Arabidopsis thaliana: one gene and its partner. The protein of the gene in region 1 interacts with the protein of each later gene in a biochemical or structural test. Each region holds a gene or a part of one and is shown in the gene's direction. Other genes may lie near its edges.

The links.
Region 2: of the proteins of CDG1 (region 1) and BSL3, one has a biochemical effect on the other in vitro, tested with the Arabidopsis thaliana proteins (one study listed by BioGRID).

Annotation. Positions count from the first base shown.
Region 1 is NC_003074.8:9,932,205-9,947,231, reverse strand, and holds CDG1 (Protein kinase superfamily protein), read left to right. Parts: upstream 1-7,926; 5' UTR 7,927-8,295; coding exon 8,296-8,392; intron 8,393-8,705; coding exon 8,706-8,899; intron 8,900-9,000; coding exon 9,001-9,190; intron 9,191-9,275; coding exon 9,276-9,676; intron 9,677-10,108; coding exon 10,109-10,525; 3' UTR 10,526-10,650; downstream 10,651-15,027. Other genes in the region: MUB4 (membrane-anchored ubiquitin-fold protein 4 precursor), read left to right, coding at 450-620, 704-765; AT3G26960 (Pollen Ole e 1 allergen and extensin family protein), read left to right, coding at 1,773-1,956, 2,033-2,373; AT3G26950 (uncharacterized protein), read left to right, coding at 3,821-4,145, 4,233-4,395, 4,514-4,714, 4,807-5,052, 5,134-5,278, 5,373-5,604, 5,696-6,030; AT3G26935 (DHHC-type zinc finger family protein), read left to right, coding at 12,014-12,097, 12,706-12,888, 12,993-13,289, 13,381-13,614, 13,698-14,231. UniProt on the Arabidopsis thaliana protein: Serine/threonine-protein kinase involved in the positive regulation of brassinosteroid (BR) signaling and plant growth. Mediates BR signal transduction from BRI1 receptor kinase to BSU1 phosphatase.
Region 2 is NC_003071.7:11,622,143-11,640,316, forward strand, and holds BSL3 (BRI1 suppressor 1 (BSU1)-like 3), read left to right. Parts: upstream 1-7,776; 5' UTR 7,777-8,045; coding exon 8,046-8,481; intron 8,482-8,624; coding exon 8,625-8,685; intron 8,686-8,782; coding exon 8,783-8,861; intron 8,862-8,972; coding exon 8,973-9,052; intron 9,053-9,143; coding exon 9,144-9,238; intron 9,239-9,326; coding exon 9,327-9,426; intron 9,427-9,520; coding exon 9,521-9,590; intron 9,591-9,871; coding exon 9,872-9,973; intron 9,974-10,050; coding exon 10,051-10,132; intron 10,133-10,523; coding exon 10,524-10,703; intron 10,704-11,049; coding exon 11,050-11,317; intron 11,318-11,400; coding exon 11,401-11,638; intron 11,639-11,760; coding exon 11,761-11,931; intron 11,932-12,211; coding exon 12,212-12,450; intron 12,451-12,525; coding exon 12,526-12,610; intron 12,611-12,702; coding exon 12,703-12,801; intron 12,802-12,867; coding exon 12,868-13,067; intron 13,068-13,150; coding exon 13,151-13,226; intron 13,227-13,506; coding exon 13,507-13,642; intron 13,643-13,738; and 5 more. Other genes in the region: PAP12 (purple acid phosphatase 12), read right to left, coding at 1-18, 90-228, 308-537, 636-747, 910-1,296; AT2G27200 (P-loop containing nucleoside triphosphate hydrolases superfamily protein), read left to right, coding at 3,307-3,533, 3,623-3,811, 4,347-4,440, 4,541-4,597, 4,689-4,768, 4,851-5,817; BLH5 (BEL1-like homeodomain 5), read right to left, coding at 15,164-15,637, 16,158-16,218, 16,395-16,774, 16,961-17,395. UniProt on the Arabidopsis thaliana protein: Phosphatase involved in elongation process, probably by acting as a regulator of brassinolide signaling.

The DNA of each region.
Region 1 (15,027 bases):
TGCTTTAGATTTGGCTTTAGAACGTTTGCTTCAGCCATTTTTTTTTTTCTTCAGTTTCTTCACTTGTGGCTTGATAGACAAAGTTCAGACATAAGTCATAGGATCTGATTGACTTACTAATCATTTGTCTTAAAGTAGGAACAGAAGAAGGAAGTTAAACTATTGATCTTTTAAAAGGTTACTCGATCTTGTGATCTATGTTTTAACAGTTTCTCCACTTGTGGTATAGGCTTTTGAATTGGTCTGATTGTATTACTAATCACTTGTCTTATACTACAAATCATGTCTTTAGAGACTATAGGGACGAATACTGTTCTGGTTCTTTTTAGTAGAATTTCTTGATCTTACTCTTCAGTCTTGTGCATTCAACAAAAAATTGAATTTGTCTCATTTTGTTTCCTATTGTATCTTATTGACTAATCGAATTTGGGGGTTTTGAATGTGTGTAGACAAGAAGATTGTTCCAAAATCAGCTAGTGACATCAAGTTGATAAATGCTGGTAAGATTTTGGAGAATGGTAAAACTGTTGCACAGTGTAAAGCTCCATTTGATGATCTCCCTAAATCCGTCATTACAATGCATGTTGTCGTGCAACTGTCTCCAACAAAAGCAAGACCAGGTCTTGTTCTTTCTTATCTCCGTAAATCTTGTTTGTGGAATGAATTCTTTAGCCTAATATCTTGTTTTTTCTTTCTCTTACAGAGAAAAAAATCGAAAAGGAAGAAGCCCCACAGAGAAGCTTTTGCTCATGTACCATAATGTGAGAACAACAACAAGTCCCAAGTCAAAAAATCTGAAAGAGTTAAGTTTTGATTCTCTGTGGTATTTGCTAAAAGACCATATAAACATAAACTACCGCTTCATATTCGACATTTTCTTCACAAGTTCAAAGAAACCTTCATCTATGGCGTTATAAAGCTAGTCTATTAGAGTTGTTTCTCTTGAGCTGTGATGGAAAAACTCTTGTTTGGAGCATCCTTTATAAAGATAAGAGTTTTGTTACCGCGAACTAATTCAAGTATCTCTGTAACATATCTTGTATGGTTTTGTCAATCTTTAGTACATTTTAGACCTGGTTTTTTTCTCTATCAGGATCCGCCCAAAACTGTATCCAAACATCTTTATCCAGTCCATTACCTACAGTGAAAACGAGTACTAAACGTTTGCAGTTTGGTTCTTGAGTGGCAAACACTTTGATATGTTACTATATGGTCCATACCTTTCTCATCATTTTCCACTTCCACAAAGCCAATGTTTTGGGGATGTAGGTAGATACAAACCTCCAAAAGAAACAGAGAGCATGAGATCTCAATAAATGTCCTTTCACCTAACTTATCACTGTCTCCCACTTAATTCTCTCATTTATAACCTTCACTTTCACTTAGTGTCTCTCCACTATCTTGTCTTGTTTCGCCTTTAATTCTATTCCTCTCCTCTGGCTCTCATTTATAATCTTCACTCCAAATGCACCTTTCTTTGTACTCCCATCACTTTCTCTTCGATATGGTATTTACTTTAATCCGATTCGAATATTGTAACTATGAAAAACAAAATGAATAGTAAAAATATCCGTTTCGTATCCAAGCCTATTTTTAAAAGACACGTTTGTATAACTCTCTCTATATATAGAAAGGAACCACGAAGCTCTTTCAAGAGAGTTCTATTCTTGTCTGAAAACTAGTTCCCTATATTTCTTCTTTCTTCACACACATATTCTCCAATTCTTACATAAATATCAAATAAACCAAACTTGAAACTTGTTGTGCTTAAGATGACGAAGAAATCACTGACAATGTTTCTTTTTATACTTCTGCAATTTCTGCTCGTAAACTCTCTATCTTCAAAGCATTCATCACCCAAACCAAAACCAGATGCAGAAATCACTATAATGGGTTTTGTTTACTGCGATGTTTGCTCCAAAAACAGTTTCTCTAAACACAGTTACTTCATGTCCGGTAGTAACTCAGAACAAAAAGATCTCTTTAATTAATTCCCTGCAAAAACTCTGTTTCTTAACGTTTCTTTACACAGGTGTGGAAGTGAGGATAGTCTGCCGATTCAAAGCAGCTTCGTCAACAACGACAGAGACTATAACATTCTCTGCAAACAGAACCACCAACGAGTTTGGACTGTACAAGGTAGCCATATCTTCTCTAGATTGTGCTGATGTGGACAGTCTCGCGAGTTCTTGTCAAGCGAGTTTGATTGGAAGAAAAAACTTCTCCGATTCTTCTTGCAACATTCCTGGTTATAGAACCACTACGGATCAGGTCTTGTTTAAGTCTCAACAGTCTAATTCCTGTGTTTATGGATTCAATGCTTTGAATTTCAGACCGTTCAAGAGGGATCTTGCCTTGTGTGGCAAGAAATAAGGTTTTTAGAACTACAAATTATCATTCACTATTATTGAAACTCTCTGTTTGCTTTCTACTCAAATATATATATATGTCTTTCGTCTTGTTCTCGACCATTGGCTTTGGTTAAAAACAAAATTTGAATTTTTATTTCGTATGCTGTAAACTATTAGTATGAAAAATAAGGAAAATGAATCACTTTTTATTTCACAACGTAATGAACAGAGGAAAATTTTGGCGAATGCTAGAAAACACACCAAAATTTTACGAACAAATTTACACAATTTCTCCTAAAACGTCCGGAAAAATTGCACGACTGTTACTAGTTTTAAAGCACGAGTTACCAGGTCACCTGTTTTCGTTAGACTGATAATTCATATTTCTACAGCAAATTTAGTATATCAATCTGTGTAAATATTTTATTGATTTATAATATATAAATAAAGTTGCATCTAGTTATGTCGTCATAAGTTTACGCATACGTATATTTGGAGAAAATGTCAAAAAAATCTTTAATTGTAAAAAATAGCATAAAAAGTTTTAACTTTATCTCGAGTAAAATAATGCGCTAATTTTCATTAACTTTTTATTTTAATCATATTTTTAATTGACTTCGCATTTTTAATCGCTCATTTTGTTGACTTTACCCAATATGTCACGTAGTTAAGTTGACTAACAAAACAAATTTTTAGAGTTAAATTTTCGTTGAGATGTTATGTTAAACTACACAAAAAAACATTGTTTAACTAACAAATAAAACTTAAAATGAAATTCAATCTTCTTACTACTTAGATAAACTCATGGATACGTCAATGGTGACATACAAAAAGTGTATATTAGAGAGTAACTCAATTATATTATAGTGATTTAGCCCTAAGTTTTTAATTCTAGAAAATTTAAAAATTTTAATGATTAAAACAACTATAAGTTTTTAATATATTGGATGTATATTATTACAAACAATAATATATAAGATAACTTGTACATGATTCACCAAAATAGTCTAGTTGAAACAACTATAATTTGAAGTTAAATAGGCTAAGTTGAAACAACTATAATTTTGAGATTCAACTATTCTTGGGTTACGGATTTTTACATTCTTATTAAAATATTGTGTTATTGGTTTGGGGGGTTTTAAATTTCCTCAAATGAATATCTTCTTATACGAAAAGATTAGTTTTCTTTGTAATTTTATTAAAATGATGATTATATTTAGATGTGGTCATGTGGATGAACCACCACCAGTGCACCAAAAACAGAAAACGACGCCTACCAACTTGATGGGCTTTTAATAGATATAGTTAGTTAGGCCCAGTTTAGTGTTAATACGATACCGTTTGACGTAGTTTAACGGCCACCGACACGAACGAATCCAAAACGGCACCGTGTCAATCGCATCCAAAGCTCTGATGTAAGAAACTCTACACTTGTTCGAGTTTCGGAGAAAAGAAACGATGAGGAAGAGATGAAACGCGGTGGAACAAGACGGAAGCGGTTGTTCGGGAAGACGATTCTCTTATCATCTGTGGTTTTCTTCATCGGTTTTGGTTTGTTGTTGCTCACGCTCCGTTCCGTAGATCCTAATTCGTCTTTCATCGACGACGACGATGACGAGTCCGAATCCGAGGAGGCTTCGAGATGGAGCAACTCTTCTTCGATTGGAGAGGCTATGGTCGATGGAGCTAAACTCTGCGCGACGGTAGAAGAAATGGGAAGCGAATTCGATGGTGGTTTCGTAGATCAAAGTCTCAGAGTTCGAGATGTTATCCATCGCCATTTTCAAATCAATGGTGAGATATTTTGTTTTTGAATCGACTCTTATATAAGCGGAGGTGTTTACGATGAATCAATGTCGATGTGGTTATTGTGGTTTATAGGAGCTTCAGCGATCCGTGAGCTGCCTCCGGAGCAATTTTGTAGACATGGTTATGTTCTAGGGAAAACAGCAGAAGCTGGATTTGGAAACGAAATGTATAAGATCTTAACATCAGCAGCATTGAGCATAATGTTAAACAGATCCTTGATCATTGGCCAGACCAGGCATATATTGGTTCTTTCTCAATCCTTTTTCTCTATATTAACTGAACTGTTACTATGCTTGTTGTAGTTTGTGTTATTTGTCTTGTTTATATTTCTTTCTTTCTCTGGGTATCCTCAGGGGGAAGTATCCTTTTGGTGATTACATTGCTTACTCAAATGCTACGTTTACAATGAGTGAAGTCAAGCATCTGTGGCGACAAAATGGCTGCGTGAAGAAATACAAAAGGCGGCTTGTTATGAGATTGGATGATTTCGAGAAACCGGCTAAGAGTAATGTTCTATGCAGTAATTGGAAGAAGTGGGAAGAAGCTATTATATGGTCAGTTGAAGAAAAGAAAGTACAGAAGATACAACTTTGAATTCATTTTGTGAAAGTTATAATCATTACTGAGTCGAGCATTTGGTTTTCAGGTTTCAAGGCACGACAGACGCTGTGGCAGCTCAGTTTTTCCTCAAGAATGTGCATCCTGAGATGAGAGCTGCTGCATTTGAGCTATTTGGAGAGCAAGGAAACTCGGCACCACGAGGTAATGTGTTTGGAGAGTTGATGATGAGTCTCATATCTCCCACAAAAGATGTTAAAGAAGCAGTGGACTGGGTTCTACACGAGACTGGGGATCCTGATATTTCAGTGCACATGCGAATGTTGATGAGCAAGTATGTTAAAACGTGCATCTAGGTTTGTTTTTTTAGTTGTTGAGCTTGTTGACTAAGTCTTCCTTTCATGTTTTTCTCCAGATCTGTTAGACCTATGCGTGCAGCGATAAACTGTCTAGGGAAAGCAATTAACAGACTTGGCATACCGAACCCGAGAGTGGTTATAGTGTCTGACACTCCATCTGTAGTGAAAATTATCAAAACAAATATCAGCACCATTGCAGAGGTATCAATGATCTATTAAACTTGCACTTTCTCTAATCTTCCCAATGATTTATTCAATTCCATTGGCGGACTAAGTAAGTTGCAATGGTTTTCAGGTTCTACATTTTGACTATAAGCTTTTCCGAGGTGATATCGCTCAACGTGGCCGCGGTTTACCAATGTTAGATTTCAGAATAAAGGATTGGGGTCCTGCACCGAGGTGGGTTGCATTTGTAGATTTCTTCCTCGCGTGCCGTGCTAAACATGCGGTGATCTCCGGTGCTAACAGGCGAGTTGGGACTACTTATGCTCAGTTGGTTGCTGCATTAGCCGCGGCAAACAGTCTCAGTTAAGATCGTTTTTTAGTTTCCTCAACACTTATTTTTCTTTCCTTCTGATCTGTCTCATTAACAGTACTCCTTGACTGGTTAATTCACAGAGGATGGTTCGAGCAACTCAAGCTTTGCGTTCCTGAGTAGTTTCCAGAGCAATTTGTTAGCAGATGGTCTGAAGAACCAGGTAGGTTGGGGACATGTCTGGAACCGATACGCTGGACCGTTAAGCTGTCCAAAACAGCCAAACCAATGCGCCTTCACGCCGCTTGCACCTCCTGGTTGGTGGGACGGTATATGGCAATCGCCCATCCCACGGGACACTCGTAGGCTTGCAGCTTTCGGCATTGAGCTTTCCGGGTTTGGTACGGTTAACGAAGACCGGTTCCACGCCTATTGTAGCGCCAAGAAAGAGTACGTAAGCACTGTAACAATCATATAATGACTTCTTGAAAAAGATTCTGGACTCTTGGTTATAAATGGACTCACTGGTTTTATTCTTCAAATCTACTTCCCCTTCTTTAATTGAACCGGCCATATCAAACTTTTTGTTCTAAATAACCGGACCCAAACCGAATTAAGCAAACCGAACGCCCAGGCCTACGAGTAACTAGCTGGCCTCTTGGTTCAATATATGGTTTTACTACTCCCTTCTTAAATTGAACCGGCTTTCTTACCAGGTCTAAATAACTAAACCCAAACCGAACTAACTAATTAAACCGAAGTCAAATATATCCAGCTATAAGTAAGAGAAGACTTCTGGTGTTTATTAGAAACAAAGTAAGATTAAGAGAGGAATAAAGCTGGTGTCAGACATTAAAGATGGAACATCATCTCGTGGAATCAAACTTTTCCTAATACAAAAATTGATTCTCGGTTAGTGAAACTTCAATTTACTACCACTTGCAGATTGTTAATTTCATTATTATTATTCTCGTCGTTAGAAATTTGCTACTAACATTGCAAGTAGGTTCAGGTATAGGTGAGAGCTAGTTTAAGATGGACAAAACTAATTATGTAAGTAGTTCTTGTAAAATATGCATTTTAAAGGTAACAATTGCTATTTTGGTGTAAACTTTTGTAATGACTAAAAATAAATAATTGTGATGGAAATAAAATCTGATTACAAAAAGATTTGAGAACGTCATGATTCATTCATAATCATGTACTGTCTACCATACTTTTTATTCTACGTACTACCATACAATCTCCAAATTTTAAGAGTGGTATGGCTCCATGACTCACATCACATGATTTACATTACATATTGTACTAATGTCAGAACCTTAACCGATCGTAAAAACCGATCAACAACGTTAACCATCATTATTGACCGTTATCTGTCGTCATAAAATCTCGGCCAAGGCTTCTTTAAAGTCTTGGCTAAATCAAAAACAACTTTTGAATTTGAACCTCATAGTGGAGCTAGAGAAGAACACAACCAAGAATCAAATGTGTATACGTTCGTATAATTAATACTTGTTAATACTGTTTCCCTCTCCTCTTTCTTTAGTTTTGTTAATTACTAGACTTTTATGCACAAAATGATAAGAATGGAGTCATAAAATCCATAGAAACCATAAAAAAAAAGTTCCGATAATTATCATTATCGTATATTGAATAATGTGAAATAGAAGTTGAATGTGTTTCCAAATTTGGTTCGGAACTGTCTTATGTCTCAGACAGAGAATCTTTGATAAAATCTTTTAACTTACATTGCATGGATATATTGGCCTAAATTTTACCATTATCAGCGTTCCTTTTAATTTTGAGGTTAAACATAGGGAAAAGCATCTTGCCGTTTTCATCGTCTGTTAAAAATTATTGAGTTTTAGACTGGGAATCTTTAATACTTGTAGCTCACGTTACATGAATTTGTTTATCAAAATTTTGTTATTCTCTGCGGTTTTTGCAATACACTTAAAAATTATTTTGCACCAAAACCAACCAACAAAAAAAATTCTTCAATGAATTTCAAAAACGTTGATAATTTTTTTGTCGTTACGTCTATAGTTTTGGGCCTTTTTTGAATGCATAACAAACATAGTTATCATCTAATATATCACTATTAGAATTTAGAAATACTTAACGTGAGGATTATTTTCTAATTTTTGTCTTAAAAATTAGTTTAAATTCAGAATCCAACATTTATCACAATTATAAATTCCAGGGATATAAAGGAGAAACTTACTATAAAACAATTAACATTGTAGATTATTACCCTCAATGGCATAATAAAACAATAAATGATTTTATCTCATAGAAGCAATTGGTGAGTAACGTACCATATATATTGCACCCCCATGCTCTCTTTTGTTGATTACGTGTCTTTCCTTCCTATCAAAACCCCTTCAACCAAATCTTATCTAAATCCCCCAAAATTTTACGAAAACTCTCGATTTTAATCTAAATCTCCTTCCTTATCACCTCACAAATTTCTCGTGTTTTTTTGTAATCAATTTTTGATGGAAAATTATTCCCAAAACTCGAATCTCTGTTGATCGTGTGTTTCTTGGGGTTCGTCTGATTCCTTCAAAGTTTTCATCTTTTTGATAACAAAACCGTTAGTTCTTTGTCCTCGTGTGTGATCATCTCTTGAGCCCTATTGATAAACCATATAGAGAGTGTATGTGTGTGTATATCTTTGTTTATTGAGTGACACCAACAACAAAAAGATTATTTTCCTTGAGATTGATTAAAAGAAAACATGGTTAGTTGCTTGTGTTTTCGTCCCAGTCGGAAAACGAAGCTCAAAGACAAATCTCATAAGAGATCCATACGTAACCAGACATCCTCCTCTTCTGGTTCCTCTCACTTCCCTTTGATCTTTTTATTATTATTTATAGATTAATCTTGAGATTAGTCATCTTTAATACCAGTCATTAGTAGTAAATCATGATAAAATCTCCCTTTTCTTTTAAATAGCTTATTTATTAATGATACATATAGTATTTGTCTTGTGATTAGTTTATACGGATCGTACAAATCCCGGCTTAGGGTTTGTGTTTTATAGTTCAAAGATTTGTGTATTTGGCTGATAAATGTCTTTTTAATCTACTTGTGATCCAATAACATATGTGATATAGTCTCTCATTGTGTTGTTTTGTTCCTCTGTAGCCCAACCAGCTGGAACAGCAAAAGAAGTAGATTCGTCAAGTTCACAAACCGTAGTGCAAGATTCTTCTAGATACAGATGTCAGATTTTCTCATACAGAGAACTCGCCATCGCGACTAACAGCTTCAGGAATGAATCTTTGATCGGAAGAGGTGGATTTGGAACTGTGTATAAAGGAAGGCTAAGCACTGGACAGGTAATCTATTATTAACATTTGGACTAATCAAATCAATAATCTTGTCGTTGTGAAATCTCTAACTGTTTGTCATTGTGCTTTGTTGTTGGTCTTAATTCAAGAACATAGCTGTTAAAATGCTTGATCAGTCTGGTATTCAAGGAGACAAAGAGTTTCTTGTGGAAGTCCTAATGCTCTCGCTCTTGCACCACCGAAACCTAGTGCATTTGTTCGGTTATTGTGCTGAAGGCGATCAAAGACTCGTTGTCTATGAATACATGCCTCTTGGATCTGTAGAAGATCATCTCTACGGTAAAAAAAAAACTACACTCAAACCAAGAAATTTTCAAGAACGAGATTCATTAAAGTTTTTTAAATTCTTGTGTTGTTTTGTCAGATCTTAGCGAGGGTCAAGAGGCTTTAGATTGGAAGACAAGGATGAAGATAGCTCTAGGAGCGGCTAAAGGGTTAGCGTTTCTTCACAACGAAGCACAACCTCCTGTGATATACAGAGATTTGAAAACTTCAAACATATTGTTGGATCATGACTATAAACCTAAGCTCTCAGATTTTGGACTTGCAAAGTTTGGTCCAAGTGATGATATGTCTCATGTCTCTACTAGAGTTATGGGAACTCATGGGTATTGTGCACCAGAGTACGCGAACACCGGGAAGTTGACGCTGAAATCTGATATTTATAGCTTTGGAGTTGTGCTGCTGGAGCTTATCAGTGGACGCAAAGCTCTTATGCCCTCATCCGAATGCGTTGGTAATCAAAGTCGCTATCTTGTGCATTGGGTAATCCTCTCAACCTTATTTTGCTTAAGGATGGATTAGTTTTTTCCTTATGACCATTTATAGGCTTTGCTTCTTTTAGACTATATAACCAGATTATATCTATCTAAATTCCAATTTTGCTTAAGAGAAAAATTGTTTTGATGGTGACCTTTTGGTCGATTTTGCATAATTATACCGTTTACGATTTAGGGTTTAGGGTTTAGATTAATCAATTAACCATTAAACCATATGCTATCAATTTTGATTTTTCGTAAAAATGGTAGTGGTTTTACTATTGACCTTTAACCATATATAGGTTTTGATTTTGGTTATGCTGATGAAAAAGAGTTTCGTGTTATGGCCCTTAATGATGTGTGGATACGTATTAGACTAATGAATGTTCCGATTTTGATGACGACATGTTCATGTGTTTCTTTTTTTTTTTCTTAACAGGCACGACCGTTGTTCTTGAATGGCAGAATAAGGCAGATTGTAGATCCAAGGTTAGCAAGAAAAGGCGGTTTTTCGAATATACTTCTTTATAGAGGTATTGAAGTGGCCTTTCTGTGCCTAGCAGAAGAAGCAAACGCTAGACCATCGATCAGCCAAGTCGTGGAGTGTCTTAAGTATATCATTGATCACACAATTAGGAAGGAAAGGAGAACTAGGCGTAGACTACTAGGAGGAAATAAGGATGGGGCGGGGACATCGAGGTCACCGGATGAGACAATGATGAGGATGTTAGAAGAAGAAGAAGAATACGTAACTAGTGAAGAAGCTATTGAGAGAAGGAGGGTAATCGTGGATGATGCTCGTACTTGGGCCGGTATGAATAGGAGAGGGGCTACGCCACCAACTCCGACTCCATGAAAGTGAAGTAAATTTTTATTAACTTGTTTTTCAAGTTATATTTGGTTAAGTTTGTTTGGTGAGACTATTGTTAGAAACCAAATTTTGTTAAAACATTTAAACATGGCAATTTAGTTAATACTAGATTTATGTTTGTTTTTATATATGTACTAACATCAAATTGATTTCTTACAAATTTCATCTGCTTCAATAACTTCGGTTTATTTAATTCGATTAAGATTTTGTTTCATAACAAAAAAATTAATATTTTGGACGTAAACTTTTTCATTTCATTTTTTTTAATATTTAATTTTATTATATTGAATCAAAAATTACATGGTTATCAATAAACATACACATACAACCAATATTTAGGTAAAACAAAATAATCGAAAAAGTAAAATCGCACGTTGCTTCTTTCGATAGGTAGGACTTATATGCTACCAGAGAAATAATTCTGTTACTTTTTTTATTCGTTTTCATCTTTGATCTTCTTTTTTTTACTATCGCCTTTTTGATGAAACTACAATAAGTTCTTCAAAAATTATTAGTTGCGATCCATCTGTTACATCGCAAATCATACAAATTTTTTTTAGTTGTAGAAAACATGATTGTTTATATAGCGACTTGTTTTCCATATAGATATTCCTTCTTCACAGCCTCCAACACCGGTATCATGACTCCCCAACATCCATATAACGCTGCCACTGGATTCATATGGATCATATTCATATAACGCTTAACATTCTGCAAACTTGAAACTTTAGTCAGATAGCATTATAACATATCTACCATCCTTATTGGAACCAGAAGCGTTCTACAACCACTTTGTGATTTTTACATCGGAATTGTTGTACACGTAAACTTTTTTGTGTTATGAAAAATGTATTTAAAAGTTGAATGAACATATTTATATAGTTAGGCCCACTTGTGTGAATTCAGATTTTCAAGGCTCAAAAGAATATTTTTGTTTTAGAGAAGGTTGAGTCCATCATCATAACCCATATGTTGCCTGTCATCATATTTTTCTTTCGACCTTTTTCTCCTCGAGATTTCAAAAGATAATCACTATTAAGAAACAAAATTTTTGACCGCGGTTACTAAGTGACAAACCAATGAAATAAAGACACGTCAGCTTCTGTCAAAATAAGAAAGATAAACTAAAAAAACGACGGTCACACACAGTTTCTTTCTTTTTGGTTATATTAAAATGTTTTTGTTTGAGAAGACAAAAAAAAAAAAAGTGGGGGAAGAGAACCCACCATTGAAATTGGGGGAAGAAGAGAAGAGAGGCTAACACACAAAAAAAAAAAAACCCTTCTTTTTCGCTGGCTTACTCGTGCCCTTGTCGGCTTACTTCGCCGGAAATCTGAATTATCCTTTTGCCGGAGACTACTTACCCTTCTCTTTCTTCATCTTCGAAACGGGTTTTTAAAGCTCAGCTCTTGGTGACGCCGTCGTGAGAGAGAGAGAGATTGAAGTAGAAGAAGAAGAAATTGAGGTTGAGAGATGTATGTAGTGCCTCCGCCTCAGCGATCTGATTCTGGATCCAATGGTGATTTAAGGGTTTACCAAACTTGGAAAGGCAGCAATGTGAGTTTTTTTTTTCTCTTTTTTGTTCTTCTTTGAGCTATAGATGCTTCATTACTCTTCCTTCCCATTTTTTTAGTTTTTGCTAAGTCTATTAAATGGGACTTTAGATTAGCTGCTATGTTTTCAATTTCAACCTAGTTCAAAATTGGAACTTTATTAAGTCTTTAGGAGAATCTAGCTATTGCGTTTTTGTGAATCCTAGGTTTTGGTGTCGTTTTCATAGGTTGCTTTTGTGGTGAATACCCTTTGGATCGTTTTAAGCTGGACAAGGCATTTTAACTTTATCTAAATATAGCTCAATGATAGATTGAGTTACTTTGGACAGAAAGGTTTTGTAATTTGAGATTACACATATATATATAGTAGATACTTGTGTATAAGGAGGTTTTCAATAACCTTCTCTCTGTGTTGCCTTAAGACATCAGCTAGAGAATCTGAATACTTCTTCAATGATTACTTACTCTGAGTACTGATTAAGACATGTGTTGTGTGATGTACTGAATTCATCGCTGGTGTATTGTTTTCCTGGATGATTCTTGTTTTTGGGGAATACTTTGTTCTCGAAAGTTTCTCTACCGGGCTGTTTATTTTCGCGTTTTATTTTGCAGATATTCTTTCTTCAGGGAAGGTTTGTATTTGGGCCAGATGTTAGATCACTGGCGCTGACCATTTGTCTCATTGCTGTCCCTGTTACAATTTTCTGCATCTTTGTCGCAAGGAAGCTAATTGATGACTTCTCCGATAGCTGGGGAGTCTCAATAGTAGCTGTCGCCGTCGTGTTCACCATTTATGTATGTATAGTTTTTTCTCGCATTGCATAGCAGATGGTCTCTATAATATTCTGTAGCTGATGCTTTTATTTTGTATTCCCTTATGATTCCGTTTCTTTCTTCAGGATTTAATTCTTCTGCTGCTTACATCCGGAAGAGATCCAGGTATTATCCCAAGAAATGCTCATCCTCCAGAGCCTGAAACCCTTGATGGAAACATGGATGCAGGGGCTGGCCAGACTCCGCAGCTGCGATTGCCTCGCATTAAGGAAGTACAGCTTAATGGAATCACATTTAAGGTCAAGTACTGTGACACTTGCATGCTCTATAGGCCGCCTCGCTGCTCGCATTGCTCAATTTGCAACAACTGCGTAGAAAGGTTTGACCATCACTGCCCTTGGGTCGGCCAATGTATTGGGATGGTAAGTCAAAATCCAACTGATCCCGTCTTTAAGCTATCCACATAAACCATAGTTTCCTAAATATCATCTCATATTCTGATGGTTGTTGCAGAGGAACTACCGATTCTTCTTCATGTTCGTCTTCTCCACGACCCTTCTATGTATATATGTGTTTGCCTTCTGCTGGGTCTATATAAGAAAGATTATGGAATCAGAGCACACAACCACTTGGAAGGCAATGCTTAAAACTCCTGCCTCCATTGTTCTAATAATATACACATTCATATCAATGTGGTTTGTTGGTGGCTTAACAGTTTTCCATTTATATCTCATCAGCACGAACCAGGTATGTTGCGACCATCCAATCCCCACCCTCTCTTAAGGAATCACGGTATCTCTGTAACCATTGATTTATCTTTGTTCTTGCAGACTACATACGAGAATTTCCGATACAGATATGATCGGCGAAGCAACCCACATAACAAGGGAGTGGTTAATAACTTCAAAGAAACATTTTTTTCCACAATCCCTCCTTCAAAGAACGACTTTAGAGCTATGGTCCAGCGTGAACCTCCATTACCTCCTAGATCTGTAGCAGGTGGTTTTATGAGTCCAAACATGGGTAAAGCCAATGATGAGATTGAAATGGGAAGGAAGGCTGTTTGGGCAGACATGGGTCCAGCAATGTCAGATCATGGTGACGGTAAACATGGTAACAATGAGCGGTTACATGTTAAGGACGGTGAGTTAGGCGAGCTATCTCCAGACATTAGGGCAACAGTTGATGAACAGAGTGATAGGCCAAGTATGCACCCGAGACGCTCAAGCTGGGGAAGGAAAAGCGGAAGCTGGGACATGTCACCAGAAGTTATGGCCTTAGCAGCCAGAGTAGGAGAACAAAACCAGAACGGCGGAGGTAGCAGCAGCGGAAGCGGTTTAGTGACGGAGAACCGGCCTACATAATTGATTACATGGTTTAGCACCGAAGGAAGAAAGAACATAGCCGAAGTTCGGTATGGTGAATACAGGTTTAGAGAAAATCTGAGGGGAGTTTCTTTTTCTTTTCTTTTTCAAATGTGTATTTTTTTTCTGGGATTATTCAGCTTATAATCAGTCTTGTGGTTTGTGGTTTATGGAGGGAAAGCAGAACTTGCTAATGTTCTTAATGTGGAAAGTGTTTGTGTTGGGCTTTGTTGTGGTAAAGCAAAGGTTGAATTGGTGTGTTGTTTGTATGAGTGAGCTTTCTTCTGGATTTGTTTTCTTCTTCTTTTCTTTTAGTTGTGTTAATACATTTAACCAGAGATTTCTGTTTTTTTTAAGGTAGAGGAGAAAAAAGTTGATATATAAACAAAAAAGTTTCTGTGTTATTTTATCAAGAAGCTGAAACAGAATTATCAAGACATGTGGACCAAAAGACAGAACATTTATATAGTTGTTCATTGAAGCATGGCTCTGCACTTAATGCAGAAGAGCCCTAATGTTTAATTTATTTTGCCTCTAAATTAATTTAAATTTGTTTTTGTTTGATAGGACAAGGTTACAGAAGATGAGTGTGTTAAGGTCTCTGCTGAGTCAAAGATATAGTCAAGAAAAATGTCCAAATCAATAATTAAAGCCTTGAATTATAGAGTTTAAGTTAAATTTTCTGAAAATCTAAGCTTGTCACACAAACATCAGATCATAAAGACAGGATCTTAAAGAGAGTCGATAAGATTTTCATCAGTGTTATATATAAAACTAATATATTTATATAACATGG
Region 2 (18,174 bases), on another chromosome or scaffold:
ATTGAGGTGTGTATATCCCTAATCATAATATGCAAAACTAATCAACAAGCTACTAAATAGTTATTGTTTCTTCAAAATTAATTCCTTACCATAAGATGAGTAACATGACATAACAATAATATAAGCTGACGCCCTTTTGATGGAATACCACAATGGAGAGATACTTCCTGATGCCTTATGTGGCGTATGATACCGATTCATAAAAGGCTTGAATGGTTCTATTTCACCCTACAAAACAGACTCTTCATGTTAAGTTTAAGTAATTACCCTAGAAGTGATAAAAGAAAGGAAGAAATTTAAATATTACAATGTCAGGAACGAAGTCGATTTCGTGGTTGCCAGCAGTCCATATCCAAGGTTGATAAGCAACACTTCGCTCAACGAACCTTCCCCAAGTATCCCATCTATTGTTGTCGTGGTTAGGGTAGCGATCCGCGTAAGACAAGTCTCCTACAAACAGAACCGCTTGTCCTTTTCCCGGATTCATCTCATAATGGCTTAACGTACTATTTGAGTCATAAGTTTGTCCTAGATCCCCTGGAACGTAACAAAAAGTCACACATAGGAAAGTTGTTTGAGGTTTTATTCAAATGTGTAAGGTTTGATATGAAACTTAAAGACAACATTTAACATACCAATTAATCCAAATGTGTAAGGTACGTCAGGGCCTGATTTAGGCGGGATAAAGAACCAGAACCGTCTGGACCACTTGCCACTCCCAATTTCGTAGTAGTATTTCGTATCAAACTGTACACGACCATATATAACAAGTAAAAGTAAAAGAACACTTCTAAATTAAGGATATTCGACTAAAACACAAAACCAAAACCCAACTATCAATACTGACAATAAGGATAAAATTAACCAAAAATCCAAAGAAAAAAACGGCTTTAAAGTGATAAGACTTACTTCCAAATCATCGATGAGGCAATGGTGAATATAACCAGACGTGTAATTAAAGAACCGGTAAGTATTAACTGTTGCTTCTGCTTGTTTCCTCGATTTCTCATTCTCACACCAATATTGAACAGTCTTAGAACCGGGCTTAACCGGAGTCACCCAAGAAATGATCACTCCATTACCTTCATGGTTCCCTTGCGTTACATGAACCTGTTGAGGTGAATTAGGACCAGGAGGAACTTCAAAAACATCGCTGTCTAGTGGCATGTCATCTGGTAAATCACTTCCTCTGACATATTCACTTGTGAACCCTCCATAGCAAAACTCAACAAGAACACTTAGCAAGAAGATTATCAAAGAAACTCGTTTGATTTTGAGGTCAGATCTTGAACTCATCTTCAAGATTAGTTTCTCTGAATCCGAGACGAAGAACGTGCTTTATATTTTCTTTTTGGGAAATTAAATGAGATAGCTAGCTTGTCTGGCCAGACACAATCATATGATTTTTTTTTTTTTTTCCAAGAAAGGATCGCAAGTGGATATTCCAAATTTTTATTTTATTTTTAATCAACCTTTGAAAATGAAGGCTTCTAAGACCATCTCTATCTAAAAACAAGAAAAGTTTCTAAAAAAAATATATATTAATATTTTAACTAAAACAAATATATTAATTATTATTTAATAATTGAACTAATAGTATGATGACATTTGTCCAAATTGGATGAGAATAGTTTCTCAAAGTTTCTCGGAAGAGAAACTCAACTCTCCTTCTCTCCTATTTTTTCTCCTTCCTCTCATATTTTTTTTTTGTTGGGTATCTCATTGAGATACTTCCAATGAAAATGCTCTAACTATCTTTTTTTTTTTTTTAATATCGATTAAAAAGTGTTGTAGGAAACAATTGATAGTGTTGCTTTCATTTTTTTCTTACAGATTTTAAAACAAGATTTTGAATGTAAAATAAGCTTTTTTTAAAAATATATTTTCATTACCTTTTTGTTTAGGAAGGGTTATTGGTTTATAGATTTATAATGAATTGAAAATCCGAACAAAAATCATTTGTAATTTAATTATTGATTTTAAAATTTTAATTAATATCATGTGTTATTGATTCAATGATTTATAAATACTAGTTAAAATCCTTTGTTATTCGTTTAGTCATTTGTTTTTGGATTTGAGAATCCAAATTATGTTTTAAATAAAATTAAATGGATTTGAAAGAGAAAATAGAAGGATTCAAATCCATGGATAAACACATATTATTTTAAAATTCATATATTTTAATTTTATAATTAATAAAGATTTTCAAATTCTATATAAATTTATAAATCAATAGCACTCCTTTAAGCTCGATATCATTGCTTCCAGTCTCTAGTTAGGCTATTATAAAATTTAACATAATTCGGTTAGATATTTAACATAATTCGGTTAGATATAATCCGGTTATAAACCCTTTTTTTCTTTTACATATTTTATAAACTTTCCCAAATATATGTAAGGTATATCAATAATATATAATTTCAATGATGTTTATATTTAGTATATTTAAATTTTCGTTAACGTTTTCAATTGTACTCTTACACAATTTTTGGTGTTGTTTTTGAACTAAATAATCATTTTAGACACGTATAAGTATTTTTATAGGCATTATGTGTTCCAAATATACTATATCATCGTTTTTAACATCATAATCTAGAGTTATTCATACTTTTTTTAATCTTTGAACTATATATTATTTTTGATATGGATAGTCATAATATCCATTTTTAAAGGTTAAGATTACTAATCTTTTTTTTTCTTTGGAACACCGGTTAAGATAACTAATCATTCTCTCGATTTGAAAGATATTTTTTTCACAGGTGAATACATTTAAACTTTTAACATATATCAAAACAAAACAAATTTTGTAGTGCCGAATTCATTTTGCTATCATCTCTTCATACATATTTTTTGTCCAAAACAAAATTACAAGATGATAAAAATTTAAAACATTACTATTACGTGATTTTAGATTGTCTTTTTTTTTTTTTTTTTTGGACAAAAGATTTTAGATTGTCTAAAGTCATATATTTCTAATAAAAATTTTGAAATATTTTATATAACAAGTTTTTAATATTTTATAAATCTAAGGAAATGTATCTAAAAACACTTGAAATATCTTAACTATCTACATCTATGCGATTGGAAGCAGTAGAGATAGTAAATTTCGCTTGAAAGATCTAATAGGCTAATACTACTTTTCTAATTTTATTTGTTTCGCACGAGAGTCTCTCTGCATTTCCGAGTTTTGCTGAAATCAAAATCAAAATCAAAATCACGACAAGAAGAACACAAAAGTGCTCAATCGTCTCCTCACGATATATATCTGCTGAATCGGAAAACTCAAAGGTTTCACCGGAGAAGAAAATGGGGAAGAACGAGAAAACATCTCTAGGTCGAGCCTTAGTGAAGCACCATAACCATATGATCCAGGAAACCAAGGAAAAAGGCAAATCCTACAAAGATCAACACAAGAAGGTTCTAGAATCCGTGACCGAAGTCAGCGACATCGATGCCATCATCGAACAAGCCGAAGAAGCTGAACGTCTTTTCGCGATTCATCACGATTCCGCAACTCCTGTTCCTATCAATATGTGAGCTTCTCGATTCAATCATTCTTGTGAAATTGGAGATTTGCTTGTATTGAATCATTTTTTGGTTTGTGATTATGTTATGTAAATAGGGATACAGGTTCGAGTTCGAGTGGCATAACAGCTAAAGAATGGAAAGAGCAAAGGATGAGAGAAGAGGCTTTACATGCTAGTAGTCTTCAAGTTCCTCGTAGACCTCATTGGACACCTAAAATGAATGTGGAGAAACTTGATGCTAATGAAAAACAAGCTTTTCTCACTTGGCGACGGAAACTTGCGAGGTTTGTTTCTGTTTTACTTCGTTCTTCTTTGTATTGTTGACAATAAACTAGAAGGATTGTTGCTGTTAGTAGCATGGAGGATTGATTACTCATTTGCAAGTGTTCCTAGTGTTGACAATGAACTACAAAGTCCGATTGTTTTCTCAATGATCTAGTACTATGCTTTTCTATGGTTACATATTATAAGCTACGTACTGTTGTTTTCATTGGTTTACTCTCAATATTTGTTTGTTATTACAATATAATTGGTTTTGAGGTTACAAGTTGTTGCATTTATCTCAAAGGAGTACTTGATAAAGCTAAATTACTTTGGAAATGCAGATGTAAGTTCGTTATAGAATAAGGTACCAAAACAGTTGAATGCGTTTTGGTTTGACTACTTTTGTTAGTAAAAATGTATCCATTTTCACATTTTGAAGCAGATTTTAGCTTACTCAGGATACTATGTATGGCTTGATTTCGTTATGTACAATTTTCGTTGGGACTTATTGCTATATACTTATGCATGCCTACTTGTTCTGCTGTATTCATTCAGCCTCGAGGAAAATGAAAAGCTTGTGTTGACACCATTCGAGAAGAACCTTGATATCTGGAGACAACTTTGGCGAGTGCTTGAACGTAGTGATTTGGTATGTCTGTTTTCCAGGATTTCTTTTTTCGTCTCTTAGAGCTCATTTTGCATGGTTTAGTTAATTGCAAAATATCATTGGCTATTTTTTTCTCTTTCAGATTGTTATGGTTGTTGATGCTAGAGATCCTCTGTTTTACCGCTGCCCTGATCTTGAGGTAACTCTATCTCTGCCAACTTGCTGATATCTCTTAATTGAACCTTCCTGATCCATATCAAACATTAACGTGGAGATTTGTTCTGAAACAGGCATATGCACAAGAAATTGATGAGCATAAAAAAACAATGCTTCTGGTCAACAAGGCAGATCTGTTACCTTCTTATGTCAGGTAAACATGTTGCCTTGCTTCTTTTCCTCCAACCTGTTTGTTTTATTGCTAACCAGTTCGGTTCTATGTAATGTAAATTCAGGGAGAAATGGGCGGAATACTTCTCCCGCAACAATATTCTGTTTGTCTTCTGGTCAGCCAAAGCTGCTACGGCTACCCTAGAAGGTAAACCCCTGAAAGAACAGTGGAGAGCACCTGATACCACACAGAAGACAGATAACCCAGCTGTGAAAGTATATGGAAGGGACGACCTTTTGGATCGATTAAAACTTGAGGCTCTAGAGATAGTAAAAATGAGGAAATCTAGAGGAGTTTCCGCAACTTCTACTGAATCACACTGCGAACAAGTTGTGGTTGGCTTTGTTGGGTACCCGAATGTGGGGAAGAGTTCGACAATCAACGCATTGGTAGGTCAGAAGCGAACTGGTGTCACATCTACCCCCGGGAAAACAAAGCATTTCCAGACATTGATAATCTCTGAGGATCTAATGCTCTGCGATTGCCCTGGTTTAGTCTTCCCTTCATTCTCAAGCTCAAGATATGAAATGGTTGCTTCTGGAGTTCTTCCAATAGACCGGATGACCGAGCACCTTGAAGCTATTAAGGTTGTGGCTGAACTTGTTCCTCGACATGCCATTGAGGATGTGTACAACATCTCTCTACCTAAACCCAAATCCTATGAACCTCAGTCCCGCCCACCTCTTGCCTCAGAGCTTCTAAGAACTTACTGCCTCTCTCGTGGTTATGTTGCCTCTAGTGGACTACCTGATGAGACTAGAGCAGCTAGGCAGATTCTGAAAGATTACATTGAAGGTAAGCTTCCACATTTTGCAATGCCTCCAGAGATAACCCGAGATGATGAAAACGAGACAGCGGATGACACTTTGGGAGCCGAAACAAGAGAAGGTTCACAGACTGAGAAGAAAGGTGAAGAAGCTCCTAGTCTTGGTCTTGATCAAGTTCTAGATGATCTTAGCTCGTTTGATCTTGCAAATGGACTTGTGTCTTCCAAAACGAAACAGCACAAGAAGTCACATAGGAAACAATGATTCGGTCTTGATGGAACGCCAATTCTGAGAGTTTTCCTGAAACCGATCAACAAATGCTCGAATATATGATACAGTTGTGGATTTTTCTTATTGTAGAAATCGTGATAACATTCTAACAGCTGTTGTTTAGATATTATGTTTGAGCAAATACTAGTGATATCGATAAAGTTTCAACTTGATGCTAGTCAATATATTGATGAAGAGTCCTTCGAAGCAGGTTTGGTAGTTGTAATATATTGCCATTGAGATATTATAGATCACTCACTCATTGTGGGTTTGTTTGTTTTCTATTTGTGGGTTTGTTTGTTTTTAAATATGTGTAAAATCTTGGCCTGTTACATTGGCTTTATACCATAAATAACAAAAAAAAAAAAAAAAAAGATCACTCATTCATATGCAAAGCAACTCAAACTACAATTTTCATTTCCCAGACTTTTATTGTATTTTTTCAATTTAGGAATCAGACTTTTGTTTTAGACAAAAAAAAAAAAGAATAAACATTTTGTAACCTTTATATTCTCCAGCATCACTCTTGTACTAAATCAATGCACATGCAAGGTTTTCTCACCATTGTTGATATTTTCATTTTTTGCTCTATTTCATAGCTTTGGACTTTGGACAAATTCAATAGATTCCTCAAGCTTTGTCACTTCATCTAAAGTATGTCATCGCCGTCTTTTAATGAGCAAACAAACATATCAGTAAAGAAGTCAACAATTTATTTGCAATTGGCTCAAATTTGAGTAGCTCAACTCTTCTAACTCAGAATTTTCCTAGGTTCTTCATTGTTTTAAAAAAATTTGGCAAAGGGAAACTTTACTGATTAAGCTCTTTTTGTAGTTAATTACAAACCCTCTGAAATTTAAATTCATATATAAAAAAGTGTAACATCCAGATTGTACGCAATGATGAATGAGTTTCATTATTTCCATTATATTAGTCATTTTTCTTCATAGATTATTTCTAAAGCTTCCAAAACTGAAATTGGCGGTTTGTACGAAGTTAATCTGAATTGACTAATGTCGTTTCTGTTGTAGATGACATTCAATGCATTAGAAATCCTCATTTCATTACGATTTTTCTTCACCATTCATTGTATATTTATTCATGAGCAATATTGTTTATTCCACTTTTATGTATTGTAACATGGATATTATTAGCAATATTTTGATGATGGAGTTTCATGTGTTATATTCATCAATGAACTTAAAATTGACTGAATTCTTACTTTCTAGTAAATGTAGTTACTGCCATTTAAGAACCGAGGACATGTGACCGAACTTTTCTTCTCTACGTGGTTTTATCTAGTCTCAACTCTCAATTTGGATGATCAAAACCAATGTAAAAGTCTTATAGCACTTATTGGTGACCTTAAATTCGTAGGTACATTACTAGATTCTGTACTGTAAGATACATTTCTATATGTTACTGCCTAATAAATTAAAACATTTATAAAAATACGATACAAACATTTGAAAGGGTACGATGTCAAAAAAAAAAAAAAAAATTTTGAAAGGGTACAAACTCTGAGAAAGTGTGTCAAATACAAATAGTTTTCTAAAAAGCGTATCAATTATCATAGTATAAATCACCCTTTATAAATCACCCTAAATTTTCCTAGAAAACACTACAATTTGCAACATATGTCTCTCACAAATCCACCATTAGGTATATAAAATAATCAACACAATATTTTAAGCTAACTACACATTACCAAATCAGTTCAGTTTCATGCGTATTGTTTGCATTACATAAATGATGAAACAATTTCTTAGTACAAGACTATATATAGCTTCAATTTCGTTACTCAAATCGAAATAGATAATTGTTTTATTTCCTCAAATAATTTCTGTTGTTTTTATAGTAATTAAGTAAATGATAAAAATGATTTAATAAATGTAATTATCTTAGCTTAAAGAGAGAGAGATAAATAAACAAAGGGCAAGTTTTTTGATTGTTTGGTGTTGAGTGTCTCTCTGTCCTTATTCCTCAACAAAAAAAAAAAAACTGGGAAGAAGAAAGAACAAACTCATTTTCAAATTCTCCGAATCTCTCTACTCCAATTAACTTTTTTCCGGGAAGATCTCACCGGAGAAAAGCTAGCTAGGGTTTCTCCACCGTGAAGATTCTAGAAGCGAGAATTTGGAATTTGCTAATTAAGAAGATGTGTTACGATCTTTCTTAATTAAAAAAGCATTGAAATTGACGAATTTAGGGTTGTGAAAAATATGGATTTGGATTCTTCAATGGTACCAGAGAATGATCAAGATCCTATTGCTACGTCTGAGAATCAATCTCCTATGGAGGAGAAAGAAGAAGCGTCTGAGCAACAAACCGGATCCGAATCCGAATCGGCGTCTTTGACTCCTTCTCTTCCTCCTCCTTCGCAGCAACAACAACAACAGCAGCAACAGCCGCAGGTAACGGCGGTGGTTGGTCCGAGATGTGCGCCAACGTATTCGGTTGTGAATGCTATAATCGAGAAGAAAGAAGATGGTCCTGGTCCTAGATGTGGACATACGCTGACGGCGGTTCCTGCTGTTGGTGAAGAAGGGACGTCTTCTTATATTGGCCCGAGACTGATCTTGTTTGGTGGTGCTACTGCTCTTGAGGGTAATTCTGGAGGAACGGGAACACCTACTTCAGCTGGAAGTGCTGGCATTCGTATGTTTTTCGATTTCTCGTTGCTTTAGTTTCGTATAAAGCTATAAGCTTTAGTTTCTGAAATCATTCCTTGATGTTAGAGTATGATTTTGCATCAGTTTTAGACTTGCCCTGATGTGATAAGAGTAATGTTTCCTATGCAGGGTTAGCTGGTGCAACCGCTGATGTTCATTGTTATGATGTTCTTTCTAATAAGTGGTCGAGGTGAGTAGAAGATATGAATTGTGCTGTTTAAGGTAGGAGATCTAGTGATTTGTTGTTAAGTGTGAAGTTGAATTAATATGATGAAATGATGGTATAGGCTTACACCTTATGGAGAACCACCTAGTCCAAGAGCTGCTCATGTTGCTACTGCTGTTGGGACCATGGTAGTAATTCAGGTAGGGGAGAAATTGTTTTGTATTTTCTTGTTATGGATTATAGTTTAGCAATTCAAGGTTATCATTTAGGGTTGTAAATGAACCTGCTACTGATTTGTTTCTGTGGTGCAGGGGGGAATAGGTCCTGCTGGTTTATCAGCTGAGGATCTTCACGTTCTTGATCTCACACAGCAACGGCCACGATGGCACAGGTTTGAATATTAATCTGCTCTTTGTCGCTAGCTCGGTCCTGAAGTTCATATGCTAGCTTGTCGCTTGATTTGGATTATCCTCTTTATCTAGGGTTGTTGTTCAGGGTCCTGGACCAGGACCACGTTATGGACATGTCATGGCACTGGTAGGACAGAGGTATCTCATGGCAATTGGTGGAAATGATGGTAAGCAGTTTCACTCGCCACCTCATTAAATATGTATTTATATTCTCCTTAAATAGCTTCTTTTTTCTCAATATCCTTATATTACCAGGGAAACGTCCATTAGCTGATGTATGGGCTTTGGACACTGCTGCCAAACCTTATGAATGGCGTAAGCTGGAACCGGAAGGGGAAGGTCCACCACCATGCATGTAATTTGTGATTCCTTCGCTTCATTTCTTGTATGTGATTCTGTGGCTTTCAGTTAAGTGATTTGGATCTCTTGGGTTTGTATATTATAACTAGGTATGCAACTGCAAGTGCGCGATCTGATGGCCTTCTTCTTCTCTGTGGTGGAAGAGATGCGAATAGTGTGGTAAGCCAAAGAGTTTTTACTGCCATGTTATGACGTGGAGGAAATCCAAATGCTGTATTACTCTTTGTTACCATTAAATTAACACTGCACTGAACAAACTTGTTTCATGAAGAGAGGGGAATAGCTTTTCTTTGCAAATTACTTCAAATACGAGTTCAAATAGGAAAATATCTATCATGTTCTTAAAGTGACAATTAGAGTTTAAGAGCTTCTTTATCTGTCTTGATATTTAATGTTCGATTGCCATGGTTAATATGTCTTTGTGTACCTCTGCGTGATAGCCCCTAGCAAGTGCATATGGACTTGCCAAGCACAGAGATGGACGTTGGGAATGGGCCATAGCCCCAGGTGTCTCCCCTTCTGCCAGATACCAGCATGCTGCAGTATGAGATTCTTCTTCTTTTTTTACTTCTTTTAGCTAGTTCCATCAGAAAAACCAACATTTGGTGGATTATTTTAGGTCTTTGTAAATGCAAGACTCCATGTCTCTGGTGGGGCACTTGGTGGTGGACGCATGGTAGAAGACTCGTCCAGTGTTGCAGGTTAGCGAAAGGCGAGAAACAATCTCATGTTTGTGTTGTTAATGAGATAATACTTACGTTTTTTGCTTATACATACAATCTCTAAAATGATGGATATGTTACTTTTTTTTGGTACAACTTTTGGCTGTCTTAATTGATTAATTGTTAGTGAGGCATATTATTTCTTTCTAAAAGCATAGTTATATTCATCCTTTAAGCTGCATCATTCTTCTCAATGGACTGTAGAAGCCAAAATTTATTTGCAATTTATATAAAACTATCAAACAGGGATATTAAAAAAAAGTTCACTCATCCATAACTCATGAGGAAGCTACAAAATTATTTTCGTAATAACTAGTACATGCATTCATGTAAGCTTCTCTGACTGGTTCATTATTTTCTCTTTGTTCAGTGTTGGATACTGCAGCAGGTGTTTGGTGTGATACAAAATCGGTTGTTACTAGTCCTAGAACTGGTAGGTATAGTGCTGACGCAGCTGGTGGTGATGCTTCTGTTGAGCTGACTAGGCGATGCAGGCATGCTGCTGCTGCAGTGGGTGATTTGATATTCATCTATGGTGGGTTGCGTGGAGGTAAGGAAAAAAGCTTGATAGCTGTTATAGGCAATTTACCATTACACGTTTGTCCATGAAATGAACCAGGCATATAGTACTGAGAATCCAGTGATCTACTAATTTGGCATATTATTTATTGAGTTGTTAGTGTATGATAGTGTAGGATTTGTTTTTTAAGTAGGTAGTTTGATCTTTTGTTAAAGTCTGGGACTTAATATTATCAGTATTAGTTAGTAAAACCATTATAGAGATCATTCTTCACCAAATATATGTGCCGTAGCTTCTTTTCTCTTCCCTTTGCAGACCGTGCATTTTCTTAAAAATTGTAGCTGCTAAACTTAATTATATTCTCTTGATCCTATAGGAGTTTTACTTGATGACCTATTGGTTGCTGAAGATCTTGCTGCAGCGGAAACAACATCTGCTGCCTCTCATGCTGCTGCTGCAGCAGCAGCAACAAACACGCCACCTGGCCGTTCACCTGGAAGATATGGATTTTCTGATGAAAGGACAGGGGAGCTACCAGAATCAGCTCCTGACGCTGTGGTGCTGGGAAGCCCTGTTGCACCCCCTGTAAATGGTGATATGTATACTGATATTAGCACTGAAAATGCAATGGTTCCAGGAATTCGGTTAGTGTCTTAATATGTGGGGTGTCGTATTGTTAGCACACCTATGCATTTAGTTGTAAAATATTTATCAAACAACATTGTAGGAGAACAAGCAAGGGTGTGGAGTATCTTGTTGAAGCATCTGCTGCGGAAGCCGAGGCTATCAGTGCAACATTAGCTGCTGCGAAGGCACGACAGGTCAATGGGGAAGTTGAACTTCCAGATAGGGATCGTGGTGCTGAGGCTACGCCCAGTGGAAAACCTTCATTATCATTGATTAAGCCTGATTCTGCAGTACCAAATAGTGTTATTCCTGCAGGGGTTCGACTTCATCATAGAGCTGTGAGTCAATCTAACTCTATCAAGAAAAATCTGTCATTTACCGTAATTCCAGCTCATTTACCAGTGGTTTACATCTCTAATTTCTGATTTTTGTTTTGCATTTATTTTTGGAACTTTGTAAGGTGGTGGTTGCTGCAGAAACAGGTGGAGCCTTAGGTGGAATGGTTAGACAGTTATCCATTGATCAATTTGAAAATGAGGGACGCCGTGTTAGTTATGGGACACCCGAAAGTGCAACAGCAGCTAGGAAATTATTAGATCGTCAGATGTCAATCAATAGTGTTCCGAAAAAGGTAAATTGTTAATCAGTTAAGTGTTGCAAGAAATTGTTATTGTGTGCTCGAACTATTGTAGAGAATTTGTCTGCTGTGGCACTGGTCATTTGGTTTGTCTGATAAAGATAGGAAGTGTACTTAGATACTGTGGAGGTGTATTACCCCTTGGTTTAATAGTTTTGGAAACTTATTTTTAAACAGACATGTAATCCGACTAGATCATTTGTATTGTTCAATGGTATGAGGTTCCGAGTTGACTATTAATACCTTCTAATGATTCACAACTCAATTTTATTAGGTTGTAGCTCATCTTTTGAAGCCTCGGGGGTGGAAGCCTCCAGTTCGTCGCCAGTTTTTCTTGGATTGCAATGAAATAGCTGATCTTTGCGACAGTGCAGAACGTATCTTCTCAAGCGAACCTACTGTGTTACAGCTTAAAGCTCCTATTAAGATATTTGGTGATTTGCATGGCCAGTTTGGGGATCTCATGCGCCTTTTTGATGAATATGGTTCACCATCAACAGCTGGAGACATATCGTAAGTGTGCAGCTAAATCTCTTGCGCCATGCTATGTGTTGGTCTGACATTACTGACTGTATTAATTGTTCTCAGATACATCGATTACCTCTTCTTAGGAGACTATGTTGATCGGGGTCAACACAGCCTAGAGACAATTACACTTCTGCTTGCTTTAAAGGTAGTTTAAAGAGAACTATATTAATGCTCTCTTTTCAGGTATTATTAACGCTTAATAAGAAATGCTATAACGCTCTATAATTGACACTGCAGGTTGAATACCAACATAACGTACACCTGATTCGTGGAAATCATGAAGCTGCCGACATTAATGCACTTTTTGGTTTCCGGATAGAGTGTATTGAGCGAATGGTAGTGTCTCATCTCTGTGAATCTCTTGCTCCACTTTTAGGGTCTCATGTCATGGCTACTTTGCAGGGTGAACGTGATGGGATCTGGGTGTGGCATCGAATAAACCGTTTATTCAATTGGCTACCTCTGGCTGCACTGATTGAGAAGAAAATCATCTGTATGCATGGGGGAATTGGTCGGTCGATAAATCATGTGGAGCAGATAGAAAATATCCAACGTCCAATTACGATGGAAGCAGGCTCAATTGTACTTATGGATTTATTATGGTAAGTTCATGTCTAATGCTGTATCATTCTATGTTGTTTCCGTGATCCTTGTCTCACTAGTATGTCATCTTGTAATCTGTTAGGTCGGATCCAACTGAAAATGACAGTGTCGAAGGTTTAAGGCCCAATGCTAGAGGCCCTGGGTTGGTTACTTTTGGGGTGAGTGGTCTTTTTCTTCTATTTCGTACACTTTGCATTGATTACTGCTCTCTTTCCCTTCCCCTCCTCACCTCATACTCCATTACATCAGCTTGAGTGATCTTTTCTTTCCGCTCATTTTGAGCTTCCTAAGTGTGAAGAGTACTGATTTTGCTAGTCCCTTACCCTTGACATATTCATGGGCTGTTGTTAGACAATTATATTGAGTAATATAATTCTACTTCGCTTCCATAAGTAGTTCTGCCTGTTCTATTACTTACCAAGAATTTGACAACTGCAGCCTGACCGTGTCATGGAGTTTTGCAACAACAATGATCTGCAATTGATTGTACGTGCGCATGAATGCGTGATGGACGGATTTGAGCGTTTTGCCCAAGGTCATTTGATAACGCTCTTTTCGGCAACAAATTATTGTGGTATGTTTATGGAACCGAGAACTCACTCCTAAGCTGGTAATAAGACCTGATCTGATAGTTTCTGACAAAAAATGATCTATATTTATTCCTTCTCAGGTACCGCAAACAATGCCGGGGCTATCTTGGTGTTGGGGAGAGATCTTGTGGTGGTTCCTAAGCTTATCCATCCATTGCCTCCAGCGATAACCTCACCTGAAACTTCACCAGAAAGACATATAGAGGATACATGGATGCAGGTTTTTATCTCAAACAGATACTAATGCCTTCCTTTTTCCACCTGGAAAATGGCGTAACTAAGCATTGATATTTTGCAGGAGTTAAACGTAAATAGACCACCAACACCAACAAGAGGACGCCCACAAAATCCAAATGACCGCGGCTCTCTTGCTTGGATATAAACCCTACAGAAAGAGTGACGAGTGCGAGATAACATACCTCTCCCGAGTCCTGACAGCCGCCTCTAGGTGATCCTCATGTTGTGTACAGAACCAACCAAACCATTCAATTATCGATTGCTATTTACCAACGAGATGGATCAATGAGGGTTTTGAGTTATCGAAGAATTTCACAGGTTAAGTTCATTCAAGTCAGATGATGAAAGGGTAAAGAATTTGTAGTAGTAGTGAGGAGGAAGAGTATTTGTTTTGTAAAAGGGGTTTTCTCATTTTTATTCATATATTTGATTTTCTTCACTTTGCTTTTTTTCTTAGTATTGATTATATATGTGGTATTGGACTTTTGGTGAGGGACACAAACAGGAGAGTGAGTAGGAGGAGGATTTTAGAGGTTGTTTTAGTTTTGGGGTATTTATGTATCATAGAGAGGTGTGTTTGGTCGTTTGTATAATGTCTTCATTCATATTTTTCAGTATGTAATTTGTAGCAACGGTTTGTGTGTTTAATGATACAGAAAATATTCTCTCCCATTTTTTCTATCATATTCTTATTTTACCATCATTTTTAAAACATTTCTGTATTTTGTTAGTTTGTAAAATAAAAAATAAAAAATTGGATATGGAAGACAAACAAAAAATCAACTCAAATAAATAAATCCATAACTTCTTGGTAGCCAATTAACTTGTGGTTAGGTCACTAAGATGATCATGTAAAACAACAAAATAATAATTATAGCTAATATATATTCATTGTTTTGTGGAACAAATTTTAGAAAAAAGACAGAAGAGGTGGGAGATTAAGTTAGGGTTTTTGGGGACATACACACACACACACACACATACACGTTCATAAAGTCACAACTATTAGCTAATATGGATCTCACGGTTGATCTGATCTTCATTTACACTCATACGTAACAATACTAACTAAAACCTGACTATCGAAAACCATATATATTTCTTTAGCTTAGTATTGTTATCTACATTTTTATCATAACCTTTACTTAATCATCTCCTCTCTATCAATCTACACACATCAACCCATACGAAACCATCCAAGGGCCAAAACTATACACAGAATATACGTAAGCAACAAGCAGAAAATATATCATCCCCACTAATTATTTCTAATCCATGATTTGATAAGTTGAAGATGAATATATGGCCGAGTTCTCAGTTCCATGACTTGTTGACTCAAAATGAATGTTATTAAAGGTTTGGTCACAAGAATGAGGCAGGCCGAGGGAAAGGGAGACGCTGTTTCCATCCATTGTGTGATAGTTTTCGAACCCTCCGTTGAAATTGATGAAGTTCGCTTGATTCATGTGTTGCTTCGTGAACCTCATGACTACGCTGCAACTTGAGGATGAATTTTGCCTAGGGGTTTCAGTTTCAGTGAATCCTTGACGAAAGGCGGGTAGGATCGTGTTCGAAGATTCATTTGAAGTTGTATTATTGTACGGTTGCTTTGAAGATGAACCTTTGGTACTATACCGGTCACTTCCTTTTCTGCTTTCTTCAATATCCATTTCTTCCGAATAAAGTTCCTCCACCAGTGGCTTCCACATTCGAACTCGAGCATTAATGAACCAATTTGACACCTACATCCATTTTACACAAGATACTATTAACAATACTTATTTTGATTATATATAATCATGGGTGCTAAAAGAAAGTATTCCATAATATATATAATTACTAATTTAACCAAAATAAATTTGATTTACTTTACAAAGGATCACATATATGATATTTCTCGTATGCTATCATCGCTATTTTCATTAAAATAATTATAATAAAATAAATATACATCATCTATCTAAATAAATTTACCAAAATATATTTGGTTTACCTGCTTTTCTTAGAATTCTTGGGTACGTTTTTGTTTTCAGACTCGAAAAGAAAAAAAAATAGAAATAAAGAGATATCTTTCTAAAAATATTTTTTTGATCGGAATAAAATTTGTTTGAATCTATATATATATTCGGTTTTACCTGTAGATTATTTATTCTTGATAGTCGGTGTTAGATGATGTCATGAAATTGTATATGTACTATGTATGAGACATCTAACATTAAGAAACTTAAGTATGTCCAACTTCTGATAATCGAAATCAATTACCTGACTCTTAGTAAGGCCAGTCTGTTTGGCAAGCATTACCTTATCCAAATCCCTCGGATATCTATACAAACCAAAACAAGACACAACTAAATCATTAGCATGCATGTCTATACAAAACTAAGTAATGATCCTAGCTTCCATATCCTTAGTTAGTTCCCTTTGCTTCAAGGTCCCATCATTCTGATATATCGACAATAATCGTAACAAGAATTAAAGATAGAAGAAAACGTTACTTACGGATGAAGAAAATGCTCAAAGAGCCAAGAGCGTAGAACGGAAACAGCTTTTTCGGGCAAACCTCTCTGCGGTCTCCAAGCATTTGAATGGTGATGTGCCATCTTTCCCAACTTCTTAAGCTGCTCGTCAAATTCCTTTTGTCCCAAGAGCTTGTTTATTTGCTTGATTTGCAAACTTATCATGTCTTTTACAGCACGAAACTGCTTTGATATTGTTTGTAACGCCATATGTGTGTATGAGTTTGCTGAGCCTAAACCCGCAGCTTGCTCAAACGATGAGATTATAGTCTGCATTTGGTCATGGTATTGCTTGTATCTCTGTTCCACCTGTGTATAATTTACCAAATTCATTTCCCAAATCAATTTACCAATCTTTGAAACCTTTATAAAGTATCAAATACTTAACATGCAATAACCAAATATATGGACTGAACTTGAGTCCCGATCTCAAAGTAACAGAAAGTTTATTGCCATTATATATATCACCATGGTTGGTTTGTATATACAAAGATCTTATTATTATTATTTGTGTATCACATATTATATAGGTAGGTATAAATAAGTTACCATTTCACCCATGGAGATGAGTTTTGCTTTCTTCATTTGCAAAGCAGCTACGCCAGGCTTATAGCCACCATTGATGTCCTCAACTCCATAAATCGTGGACTCTTTACTCACCGGTCGCTCTTGTTTTGCGCCGTGGCTACCGTTTCCAACATTGACAATCTCATTGAGTAATTCTTGAGCCGCTTTCAAGTAGATCGGAGCCAAAGCCCTGAAGACTCCTCCGTTTGAAAAAGTGGAGATGGAAGAATTTCCTTGTTCTATATGACCTACTTCATCTCGAGGTCTATATTGTTGGGAACCAAAGCACAAGTTGTAGAAGTGATCGTCATGAGCATTAGTGGTCGTTGTCTGCTCGCGAAACGGATTCAGAGTCATCATAAAAAGATCAGAAGAGTGTTCTCTCATTTCAGATTCTCCAAGAAAGAAAGCAGCCATTATTCTGACAATTAAGCAACAAAACTTGCAATTCAAGAAAATATCAAATTATAATATAAATCGATCTAAAACATTAATAATATCCAAGAGCTTAGGAAGAAAAGGTAAGCAAAAGATGATGAAATAAAGATGTGACAAATCAAGAAAATTAAATTACCGTTTTTATTTAATAATTAGAAATGATGAGCAGCAAATTATGGGTGTGAGTTTCTCATTGTCTTCTTCGACGTGTCTTTCTCTCTGCTTGCGATGATCATCTAAATATCCTCTGCTTCATTGATCTGTCAACTAGAAAGTCCAATAAGTCGCCTTTATAAATAAAATGTGATTGGACTTTTCATAAATGGGAAAAATATGTACTTTTTTCTTTTATATCTCATTGGACAACTAAACAGTGACACTCACGATTAATATTTTTCTTGTGATGTTTCGAAGTTCAATGGATTTTGACCAATCACCAATTCTAGCATACATGATATATGCACGGCATGCTACTGCTACATATCCAATATTTCTCACTTGCATCTTAGGCACGATTCACACCCAATATCCAACCTAGCTAAAAAATTTCAATGTGGTCGCAAATGTAGATCTACGAGACAATCTATCTAAGAATAAGTATAGCTACCATATATATATTTTTACGATCACACTTCTATCATTGTCATTCGTTTTACCATTTGTATACTATAGGTGAAATAAGATTTTAATTAATGGTTGTTGACGAGAAAAATATATTACAGATGGTAGTATTGTCTTATCATTTGATGTCCGCACGT